3 linked regions of the Rhinolophus ferrumequinum genome follow. The protein of the gene in region 1 purifies or fractionates together with the protein of each later gene. This does not show direct contact. Links are inferred from orthologs where the notes say so. Each region holds a gene or a part of one and is shown in the gene's direction. Other genes may lie near its edges. The genes, in order: PRKAR2B, AKAP9 and CDK5RAP2.

Region 1 (3,750 bases):
ACTAATTTGTTACATCTTGATTTCTAGTCTCTGAATTTCCTGAGTCATGTATTTACTCTTTTTTATGGGTAGAAAGCTAAATCAGAATAACTAAGTGAGCTTGCTCTTGAAATATTTTTTTTATAATGGTATGGTAGTCATTGTAGAAAATGAAGTACGTGTTTTTACCAGCATTTAATTGTCAAAAGACAATTTTATAATTCAAAATTGTAAATATTTGCAGAAGAAGCCTCATTTCAAAGTCAAGGATTTCTACTTTAAAAGTACACATCTCTAATTCTATTTCTCTTTATATTGAAGTATTCTTATTTTTGGTGATATCATTCGAAATCACTCAAGCATAAGGGAAACTTTTAGAATAATAAGAGCCTAATCAAGCAAAGCTTGTCTTCCTTTAGGACCGTCTGTCCTGACCATGACATTTTATTCCAATTGCTGCACTATCCTGTTTGAAAGGCATCGACTAACTTTGATAAGTGCCTCACAATTAAATGATAAAAAATACACAGGGCAGACAATAGTACAGTATTAGTAAAGCAAAACATATTCAACAGGATGGAAGGAGAGAGGTTGGATAAAATGTGGTGAAAGAAAAAGAAAGGTGTCACAAAGATGGGGTATCACTTCTTTGTCCAAAAGAGAACCAGTACCACTCTTTGACTTTAAGCAAAAGACTTTACCCACACTTATCAATGCAACTAGGTTCTCGGAGGAAAATAAAATGCCGCTACCGAGGTGGAGGCTGAAGTTTCAGGGAAAATCGCGTGGCACCGGCTCTGCGTGGGTTCCCCGCGGTGCATGACGTGTGGGAATTCGGCGGAGTGGCCCGCTGGCTCCGGGCACGCGGACAGGTGGACAGCGAGGCGCGCCTGGTCGGCGGGGGCAAAACCCGAGGTAGTGTTGAGTGGGGGCCCCAAACCTCGGCGACGCGCCGGGCAGCGTTCCCAACAAGCCCGCAGGCGACCGCCAGCGTCCGGGCCCCTGTGAGCGGCGGGTGCGCGGCGCCCTGCCGGCGGGGTTGCCATGGTTTCCGGGGTCACGTGGGCGCGCTCCGGCGCTCCTCCAGCGCGCCGCGGCGGGGCGGGGCGGGGGCGGCGGAGAGGAGCGGCCGTGGCGGAGCGGGAGGAGCGGAGATGCTGCCAGCCCTCCCGGGGCCGCTCGCTCAGCCGCCGCCGTCGCTCGGAGCAGCCGCGCGCCGTGAGCCGCGCGCCGGGCCAGCCGGGCCGCTGGGGCCCAGTGCTCCGCGCTCGCAGTCGGCAGCGCCGCCAGCGCCGTCCGTGCTCGCTTGGCGCCCGCGGGGCCCGAGGCCGGTCCGGGGAAGGGGCGAGGGCGGCGCCCAGGCGCCCGCCGCACGGGAGGCAGGATGAGCATCGAGATCCCGGCGGGACTGACGGAGCTGCTGCAGGGCTTCACGGTGGAGGTGCTGAGGCATCAGCCGGCGGACCTGCTAGAGTTCGCGCTGCAGCACTTCACGCGCCTGCAGCAGGAGAACGAACGCAAAGGCGCCGCGCGCTCGGGCCATGAGGGCAGGACCTGGGGGGACGCGAGCGCCGCCGCCGGGGGCGGCACCCCCAGCAAAGGGGTCAACTTCGCAGAGGAGCCCATGCACACAGACTCCGAGGACGGAGAACAGGAGGAGGAGGAGGCCGCCGACACCGGGGCGTTCAACGGTGAGGATCGGCCCCTGCGCGCCCCCGCTCCCCACCGCCGTTTCCCCCTTTGCTGTTGAATCCTGTAGCTGTTCTCACCTCTCCCCGCATTCTCCACCTTCCCTACCTTCCTGCCCACCCCCTCAGCATCCATTTCTGTCTCTCCCATTCGCCCACCTTCCTACTCTGTTCTCTTGTCAGCCTTTCCTCTCGTCCTCTCCTCTGGAGGTCGGGAGCTGAGAGGTTAGAGTTCTCTGCCCATCTACACCCTCTGGTCCTAGGCTGGGAAGCGCAGGACGGCCGGCTTGGGGTTGGCATCTGCAAGGCAACTTTTCACTGTGGTTGGCGATACTGCGCTGGGCAGATGCCATTGTGCATAAAGGAAATTGGCCCACTTGGCGTCCTCTTTCAGCCGTTATGTTTATTAACGGAGTGTCCAGAGCGAAAAGGCGAGGGATGTTCAGCTGGATTGGGCTTTGTTTAGGAGGGCAAATTCTCTAACAGGAGCATGAAATTGTACTCACTGGGGCAGAACAAAATTTATGGCGATAAGCTTTGACATTCTTGGAAACAGAGTAATCTATTATTTTCCAATTTACCAACCGCGTTGTGTTTTTTTTTAGATGCACGACAAAGGATTCTTTCTAGCAAGCAGCCCACGGGGTCTGTGGAATGAGGAAACGGGCTAATAGTTTGCTTTTTATTTAAAACAAATATTGAATGATTTGGTGCCTGTTTTAAAAAAGTGTGTGAAAAACACTGTAGGAAGTTTTTGAAAGCTTGTTGGTTGTCTTTAGAATGAAAAGCCAGTGAGTAATTGTAAGGACTGTGCCAGGCACTGAAGCTAGAAAGAATGAATGGGGGAGAGAAAAAGGGATTTTCTCGAATAGCTACTCCTGGCAAGTCCCACCCCTTCTGCTTACAACCGTCTTTTCCACACACAGACACACATGCACGTTACAGCTTCCTGTATTTACACAAATGCCTAGATCCCATCTCGGTGGCACCCCAAGCTAAAACAACATGTGTGCAGTGTGCAAGTGTTTCTCTTTGTGGTATAAGGCAAACCTGCATTCAGCATTGCACCAGCTTTTATTCACTTACGCTGCTTGTGGTTTGTGTGTCTGCAGCGCATTTCATATAATGAAAACATTTTAAAGTGTCATTTTCTTGTGTATGTTCCCAGGTAGGTGTTTCTTTTCTTTGCAAAATTCTTGAAATGTGTTATAAAATTAATATTTTTAGCTTGTTTGAAACAATCACAAAACCCCTGCAAATTAGTGCTCTATAAAGATAAAAGGAAAGATTGTTACTTAAATTTTTTTATTTTGGATTTTTTAGTGTTTCCAAGGGTAGGATGATCAGTCTTAATTGTTCTTTTTGCACAAGAATTTAATCAAATGTTTTTCTTCCTAGAAACAAGGAAAGGAAAAAGAATACATCTTTTAAATAGATGCAGAGGAGAAGCCATTAGTGGATGACACAGAAAGAGCAGAGGCATCTAATACTTCTTTTAACGCTCCAACATGCAAACACACATGCGCACACACAAACACATGCGCACATGCAAACACACATGCACCCACACAAAGGAAAAAAGGGCTAGTTCCAAGATTGGAGGAAACTAGGAATTGGTAAAGAACCTATACATGTTTGATACAGTATGTTGTTAGTATAGCTAAAATCTTTTGTTTGTATAATGCTTTTGAAGTAATTGGCATTGATGATTCCATTTTTTTCCTTACAACAGTGTATATTGTGTACAGAACAGCTTTTATTTCCATTTTGCAATGAAAAAAATAATCCATTAAGTTATAAGCAGCAGGAATCATTTTATATGGTTCTATATTCTCCCAGATACCTTTATTGTAAAAATTACTGAGTGAGTTTTAATAAATACTTGTTAACCAATTGTGCTTGTTAGCCCCAGCCATACCCCCAAGGGCTTAAAAACTTTTTTGACTGCAACCAGATCATAACCAACACACACACAATTTGATCATAACCCAACACACACACACACACACACACACACTCACACACGAACTGTGGCAATGTTACTTCCCTATAGTAGGTGTAGTTGTAAATGTCTACCCAAAGA
Region 2 (3,750 bases), about 16 Mb from region 1:
CTCTTGATTAGGATCTTCATTTTTAAAAGTGTTGTGGTCCATATGGATCTAATTCTAATTCTGGGATACTCTACCTTACGTATTTCAACAGTAAAAACATCATTATCTTGTATTCTATTAACATAGAATTGTGAATAATTAACATGTGAGGAGGAGTGAAGTTCCTTTGTATACTCTTGCTGGTAGGAAGAGGAGGTTGTTAAATAGATTAATTGATCTAAAATTAGTCTCACACCAGGTCAACCCTGCAAACATATTGTATCAGTCATTCTTCCTCCACAAAATGCCTGAGCTAGAGACCGGCTGTAATATATTATAGAAAATGTCCACATTGGTCAGGGTTGATACGTATAATAGTACTACCCCCAGGTGAAAGTTTGAGGGAGTGTTCCTCACTTTTTCATCTCCTCCTACAACTTGACCTGCTTGCCAACCTTCAATTAATTTGTACCAGTAAACAGTTTGACTTTAAAATTAATAGGACTTAATTAAAAAAACCAATTATTTAAATGATTTTAAGGCAATATTTTGTAGAAGAGGATCCAGTAACTTGAAGTTTATAGTTATCCTTCTGAAGACAAAATAGAAACTACACTTAGAACTTTAGATCACTTAAAGATAATGTATACTACAGTGTCTTTTGGATTGTAAGCACTCAAATGTTTGAGGAATGATTGGCATTTGAAATGGTCATAATGTCTTTTAGATAAACACTATATCTGTTTCTGCCAATGTGACATTTTCCTTAGGCGTAAAAGAGGCATGAATACAGTTAGCTGGTATATAATTATTAGCTTTAAATAAAATTCTGTTTAAAATCATAATATATCAGGAAATTGTTTTTATACAGGTAAATGGTTGCAGTTTTGTGGTGGGAGCAGAAAAGCCTACAAATTATTAAGGGTATAGTATTAAAACTACTTATGATACTAATGTTTTATATTATTTAAAACCATCTGGCTTACTAACAAAGCTTTTTCCTGCATGTATTTCTTTCTGTGGGTGATGTTTAAATGCTTTAATGGTTTAACAAAACAAAATTATCTGCCTTTGTTGTAAAACTCAATTGTAACAGAATTTGCAGATAACTTGTTTTGCTCTTGAGGTACATAACACATTAACAACAATGGAGCTTGCCATACCAGTGAACTCCCAGGTGATGAGTGATGTTTTAAAGTGGACTTGGCTTTGAATATTTGACTAATTCTTCCTGCGGAGTGTTGTTTGTACTGAATTATTCAAAATCTTGGATTGATTTAGGAAGAAGAATTTGGTGTTGATGATTCTTACTTGGAACATGGAGCACAATACAATCAGACCCAACTAGAGATGATGGAAAATGAATTGGTTGGCAAACAGCATGATATTGAAGAACTAAACAGAGAACTGGAAGAAATGAGGGCCACCTATGGGACTGAAGGACTGCAGCAAGTATGTTTACCTTATGTGTCTTGTTACTCACAAAAACAAAAATAGGAAATTTGAATGATAGTGTACGTACATTCTTTAAAGATGGGGTTTTTAAATGGTAACTTAAGGTCAGCTGATGATACTTGTCCTTATGTGTATATCAAAACCACGTTCTTTAAAACTAGGATTTCATTAACAGGTCTAATAAAACGTGGACTCTTTTATTTTACATTATGGGATAGGTAGGTTGAAATCACTTTAGTAGAATAGACGTTTTTGTAATCAACCTGCGAGAAAATTATTGTGCAAACCACATCAAAATACGATGATTTAAACTCATTAAAAATGTCAGCGAGTCCTTATAAGTGACCACTTGTGGTTAAAGTGACGTGTTGTTTGTCGCAGTCAGTTATGAAAACAAGATGAAATAGGACGTCGATGAGGATGACAAAACGCATTTCACTTTTACCCTCTCCAGAAATGAGTGAGATTTAACTTGTCTATGACGGTGTTGCCCAGGAACAGATGGAAGCATCCCTGAATATAAAGGCACTGTCCTTCTAGCAGTAGATATATGGATAAGTCAGACCTAATATGTTTTGTTTCTAAGTTCAGATAATTTTTTAAAGGTTGATTTGGAAGTAAAACCAATTCCTGCAAGCTAATAGCTTTCAAATGTGAATAAGGTTGCTTACAAATTGTAATGATTCTGCCAATGAGTTGTGAATATCATATTTTTGAAGAACAGTTACCTATAATAATGATTGATTTGTTAAAAAATAGAAGTTTAGCACTTACTATTCATCGGTGTTTTTTAGTTACAAGAATTGAAGCAGCCATTAAACAAAGAGATGGCATCATAACCCAGCTTACTGCTAATTTACAACAAGCAAGAAGAGAAAGGATGAGACAATGAGAGAATTTTTAGAGTTGACAGAACAAAGTCAAAAATTACAGATTCAATTTCAGCATGTAAGTATTAGTAGTAGAATTTATTAGATTTTTAGAAAGGAATTAATTTTTTTTCACACTTTCCACTACCATTTTAAATTTGTTTAAAACCATTTGCTTATTTCATATTATGTTTGGAAAACTAGTTAATACCTCTTGTTATATTATCCAAGACTTTAATTCATATTTTTTGCATGGTTTCTTTCTTTGTATTTTGAAATCCTACAAAACCTTATAAGTCTGATTGAGTGTAGATTTGCAGAAATTAACATGTAGTCACATCCTACCTTTGCCAACCCTGGTATGATTTTATTTTAGAGTCTGAAATGGTAACTAGACTGAATATAGTCCATTTACCTTTAATTAGAGCCCTAAGAGTCTAATTGTATTAATCAAGGTTTCTGATTGGGAGTAACAGAAAATAAATTGAGATAGCTTAAGCAAAAGGGAGGAATTTAATATAAGGATACAGGCTTATCTTAATAGAATTCAAGGCAGAAATACCACCACGCCTCTGAAATGGACTGGGATCAGAAACTGGAAAGTCCTCAGGAATCCAGGAAGTATTGCCTTTCAGGCCCCATTTCTTTCAGTATGTCTGTCTCAGTGTTACCTCTCTCACTAGACTACTTTCTCTGCTTGATCATGGGAAAGATAGTCTTATTGGTTCAGTTTGGGTAACATGCCCACACTCATCTGGTCAGCCATGGCAGTAGTTTGATGGGGTCTCAAGCCTGTAAATTCAGCACAGTTCCCAGAGAGCATTTGTGAGCCAACTAATACCCCAAAAGATGTCTATTCCTTAGTGCCGTCACTGCAGAATTTAATACCTTGTGATTTCTTTCTGTTTTCAAGTTACAAGCTAGTGAAATGCTGAGAAACAGCTCTCATAGTAGCACAGCTGCAGATTTACTACAAGCCAAACAACAGATTCTTACTCATCAGCAGCAGCTAGAAGAACAAGACCATCTATTAGAAGATTATCAGAAAAAGAAGGAAGACTTCAAATTGCAAATCAGTTTTTTGCAAGAGAAAATTAAAGCGTATGAAATGGTATGTTTATTTTAAAGAAGTCAGCCAACTTGCAGCAGCTTTACAATTAACTTTAAAGTTTTGTAGGTAAATATTTATCTTGTTATGTACATGAATCACAAAATTTTGTAATTCAGAAAAGCTCTTTAAGTTTCTAAAATTTATTTCAAAGCAATTAGGAATCTTATAATAAAAATTTTTAAGTTAATACTCGTTACTGAGTTCCTTGAAAATGACCGGCCTATGTTAAATTGAGTTTTCAGGAGAATCTAAATTTATAACCAGAATTTCTGTCCTTTTTTTTTTTTTCCCCATCTAAAGGTATTTCTACTCATTTTAAGGGTGGCTGGCTAGCTC
Region 3 (3,750 bases), on another chromosome or scaffold:
ATTTTATTGCTGATTCTAGGAGTGGTTGAAGATCTGGGGAAGCAAGAGGGACAGGTATACACCATCACTATGAGCTTTGTAGGTTTACTACTGAGGTGGTGGTTGGTGGGGTGGAGGGACGGAGGGAGGGAGAGAGCGAGAGAGTGAGAGAGAGAGAGAGAGAGAGAGTGGGATACATGGGATTACCACTGACTGAGTTACTAAAGGTATCTCAGGTCATTCTTACCTCATGACAAAAACCTTGCAGAGTAGGTTTTAGCCCCATTTTCCAGATTGATTGAATCATTCCTTCAACATATATATTTAAACACCTGGTGGGTGTGATAGTTATGGGAGATATAACAGTAAACAATTCGGAACACAGTCTCTGCCCTTATGGAGCTTCCAGTTTAGTGCAAGAGGAAGACATTAAAAAACCCCCAAATGCAGAAGTTGTTATACTTGCAAAATGTGTTAAGTGCTACGAAGGAAAAACACCATTGCTGAGATTATAAGAAAGGGCTTGATTTACCTTCGAGAATTAGAGAAGGCCTCTTTCGGAAAGTAACTCTTCAATTGAAGAAGGAGGAAACTGACGGTGCGGGTGGTCTTATACATGATTGTAGGGAAAGTCACCATCTACCCACTTGCCCATCTTTTCAAGGTATTTTCATCCAGGGCTTTCCTGGTAGCAACCTTGAGATGGGGAGACGAAGGTTGAGTTCACTGGCCAAGTTCTGCCCCAATTATCCAGGTGTTTGGTGATGGCTCTGCTTTAAGGAAGGTCGCCAGGGTTATGCAGAGATCCCTGATGCAGCTGGCAGGAGCCACAGATCTGGCTTGAGGTGACAAACTTACTGTGCATGACTTTGGGCGAGTCATTTCCTTTCTGTGTGCCTCAGCTTGCCGACCTCAGGTGCGTTTGAGCCCTAGAGGTAATAAGGAATCATTAGGCGACAGACTGCATAGTAAGTGCCGCTGACCACTTGGCTCATAGGAAGGAGCTTGTTTGTTTCAAACTAAGTGCACAAATTACTACTTGAGTTGGGATTCTACAGGTTGGATTTTTCTAAAGCGAAGCAGCACCCGATTATCTGAGTTTCAAGACAAGGCAGAAGCCTTTTGGAAGCACACACTGCAAGGTTCGGGGTCATTATCCTAGAAACACACACACCAGGTTTTACGAATTCTGAGCATCCGTGAGGGGGTGCATTCCCGACTCCCGCTTCAATGAACCAACCGAGGCCGGCTTTCGCCCTCAGCAAAGATGGCGCCCGCCCCGCCTCGGCCTGGATACCCTCACAAAAAATGGCAGCTGGCCCCTCTGTCGTTCGACTCGCGGGCCCCAATGCGGACGCCCTGCCCTTTGTTAAGATGGCGCCTGCCCGCGCATCCCTGCCCGGCTTCGGGCCGCAGCCGGTCGGCTTCAGTGAAAGCTCCTCGGTGACCCCGCCTCGTTTCCGTAGGAAGAAGCGCCGGGAAAGATGGCGGCGGCTGCGGTTTGAATTCCAGCGGCGCCGCCAGAGTCCGAACAAGAGCTGGATTGGAGGGGGCGGGGACCTGGGGAACCCGGCGGGTCGCGACCGCGTGGGGAACCAGTGGTGCCGCTGCCACAAGCACCAGTGCTACCACCTCCTCTGTGTCCATGATGGACTCGGTGTTGGAAGAGGACGTCACCCTCCCCGGGACGCTCAGCGGCTGCAGGTGCGGCCCGCATTTTGGGGGTTCGCGATAACCGGGTCGGGGTTCCAGCTGTTGAGGGTTCGCTCCAACGGAGACTTGGGGTTTGCTCTTGAAGGTGTTTGAAGGTTTGCAGACAGGGGCAGTGTGTAAGGTGGGTTTTTTTGGGGTGCGGGGTGCCTCCTTAGGGACCCACCAGCTGATACTGAGTGGGGCGGGGGGGTACGACCTGCACCACACCCGCCTCTCGTATTTCGGGACATACGGGGAAGGGGATGTGAGGGACAGGTAAGGGATTCTCCGAAAGAGCGGGACAAGGGGGACCTCTTAGAGTGGACCCTTAGTGGAGGCTGGTTGGGGGCAGGACCTTGGGAGTTTGCTGTCATTATGGTGAGTGTAGTTGGTCTGTGCAGACTTTGCTAGGGGGTCACATAGTGGCCACCAAGACTGAGGCAGAGGTTAAGAACCTTGGCTGGAGTTGAACAGAATTGGGTTCAAGTCCAGCCCTTTAAACTAACTAGCTGTGTGACCTTGGTAGAGTGGCTCAACCTGCCTCCTCGTCTGTAAAATGGGGCTACTAGTAAAATCCACCCAACAGAGTCGGGGTGAGGGTTAAAGGAGAAGGTGTCTGCCCCTGTCCAGTAGTTTGTTTGGCAAGTGTAGTGCCTGGCACATAATCAGTGCCAAAAAATTGACTGTGTTGCCTCCATCATTGTCAGTAGAATGGGGAGTAATGGTCGAGAGAGTGGCCTCCCAAAGGACCTGCCCAACGAGGCAGTTGGAGTCCACATTGCTGGTGGCGCCGGTCTCTCTCCTTCTGGTAGGAAGGCCTGGCAGAGCCGGGCATGGCCCCAGGGCCAGGGCCCTTTGGTTGCCCAGGGCTCCTGGTTGGATAGTGAGTAGAAGGATGCAGAGGAGAGCCTGACTGAGAATCCGCAGTGTTTATCCAAATCTACTAGGGACAGGCTGCTTCTTTTAGTCAACAGACCCTAATTGAAAGGGTGACCATGTTATTTGTTGTGTAAACCCAGACACTTTTAAGAGTGAAATGGGCACAATTAATACATATGCCTGGACAGCAGGCATAAACAGGTCCAATCATGGGCAAACCTGGACAAATGGTTACTTTGTTTATTGAGAACCTACTGTGTATAAGGTCGAGAAGGCCCTTTGCAGCTCCTGCCTCGTTGGATCCTGTGGCAGTTCATGTCCCTTTCTCTTCATCTTACTAGACTACCCAGATATCTTGGGGGACGACCTCTCACCTGGATTGTCATATTTTCCTTCATGCCCCTAATAGTCCTTTATACCACAGCTTGAAAGCTCTTTCTAAAATGTACATCTGATCATCACAGTCTGCACTTTATGTTTAATGCTTCTCATGGCCGTTAAGATAAAGTCCATTATTCTCTCAGACAGCTTTTCTCATCTCAGTGCTAGTTGGCCAGACCTAGCTGGTGGGTTTCAATCCCAGTTCTGCCACTTATCAATCCTGTGACGTTGGACAAGTCACTTATTCTCTGGGAGCCTCAGTTTTCATCATCTGTAAAGTGGGTGAGTCTAGAAGCGTTTTAGCCCAGTGTCTGATCCAGCAACTCAGCAGATCATCAGATAGTCTCCCTTCCTTCCTCTCCCTGACTTCGCAGGGAGAAGGGGCTGCATATATTCCTGGCAACTAATCTCTTACTCACCTGCTCAGACCCTCCCCGGCTCCTTTCCAAACTCAGGATGGAGTTGTTTAATGCAGCTTCTAGGGTCGTTCCTAGTCTGGCCCATCAACTTCACAGCCTCCTTGGTCCTCCCTCTCCCTACCCTGTCTTCTCCCCGGGCTCACCTGGCTGCCAGATTCTTTGTCATGAATGCCTTGTCCTTTCTTACTTCTCGGCCTGTGCACTTTCTGTTCCTGCTGCTTGGATTGCCCTCCCTCCACCCCTTTGCCATATTAATGCCTACTGTTTTTCAGGTCTCACTTTAGATGTCACTGCGAGGAAGCCTTCACTGACAGTTCCCCATCCCCACGTGGGTCCTCTGTACTCTTCGAGCCACCCCATCCGTCACTGGCCCTATTGCAGCCCTTGTTCACCTCACTGG

What was found.
Region 2: the proteins of PRKAR2B (region 1) and AKAP9 purify together in Homo sapiens (affinity purification with mass spectrometry; 3 studies listed by BioGRID and IntAct, counting the BioPlex papers as one, with this or other methods). This does not show direct contact. The link is inferred for Rhinolophus ferrumequinum from reciprocal best matches to the Homo sapiens genes PRKAR2B and AKAP9.
Region 3: the proteins of PRKAR2B (region 1) and CDK5RAP2 purify together in Homo sapiens (affinity purification with mass spectrometry; 3 studies listed by BioGRID and IntAct, counting the BioPlex papers as one, with this or other methods). This does not show direct contact. The link is inferred for Rhinolophus ferrumequinum from reciprocal best matches to the Homo sapiens genes PRKAR2B and CDK5RAP2.

What each region holds. Positions count from the first base shown.
Region 1 is NC_046303.1:50,236,459-50,240,208, forward strand, and holds the start of PRKAR2B (cAMP-dependent protein kinase type II-beta regulatory subunit), read left to right. Parts: upstream 1-1,224; 5' UTR 1,225-1,363; coding exon 1,364-1,670; intron 1,671-3,750. UniProt on the Homo sapiens protein: Regulatory subunit of the cAMP-dependent protein kinases involved in cAMP signaling in cells. Type II regulatory chains mediate membrane association by binding to anchoring proteins, including the MAP2 kinase.
Region 2 is NC_046303.1:34,138,407-34,142,156, reverse strand, and holds the start of AKAP9 (A-kinase anchor protein 9), read left to right. Parts: upstream 1-1,298; 5' UTR 1,299-1,431; intron 1,432-2,228; 5' UTR 2,229-2,322; coding exon 2,323-2,382; intron 2,383-3,216; coding exon 3,217-3,414; intron 3,415-3,750. Other genes in the region: A-kinase anchor protein 9, read left to right, coding at 851-901. UniProt on the Homo sapiens protein: Scaffolding protein that assembles several protein kinases and phosphatases on the centrosome and Golgi apparatus. Required to maintain the integrity of the Golgi apparatus. Required for microtubule nucleation at the cis-side of the Golgi apparatus.
Region 3 is NC_046295.1:71,104,172-71,107,921, reverse strand, and holds the start of CDK5RAP2 (CDK5 regulatory subunit-associated protein 2), read left to right. Parts: upstream 1-1,435; 5' UTR 1,436-1,624; coding exon 1,625-1,683; intron 1,684-3,750. UniProt on the Homo sapiens protein: Potential regulator of CDK5 activity via its interaction with CDK5R1. Negative regulator of centriole disengagement (licensing) which maintains centriole engagement and cohesion. Involved in regulation of mitotic spindle orientation.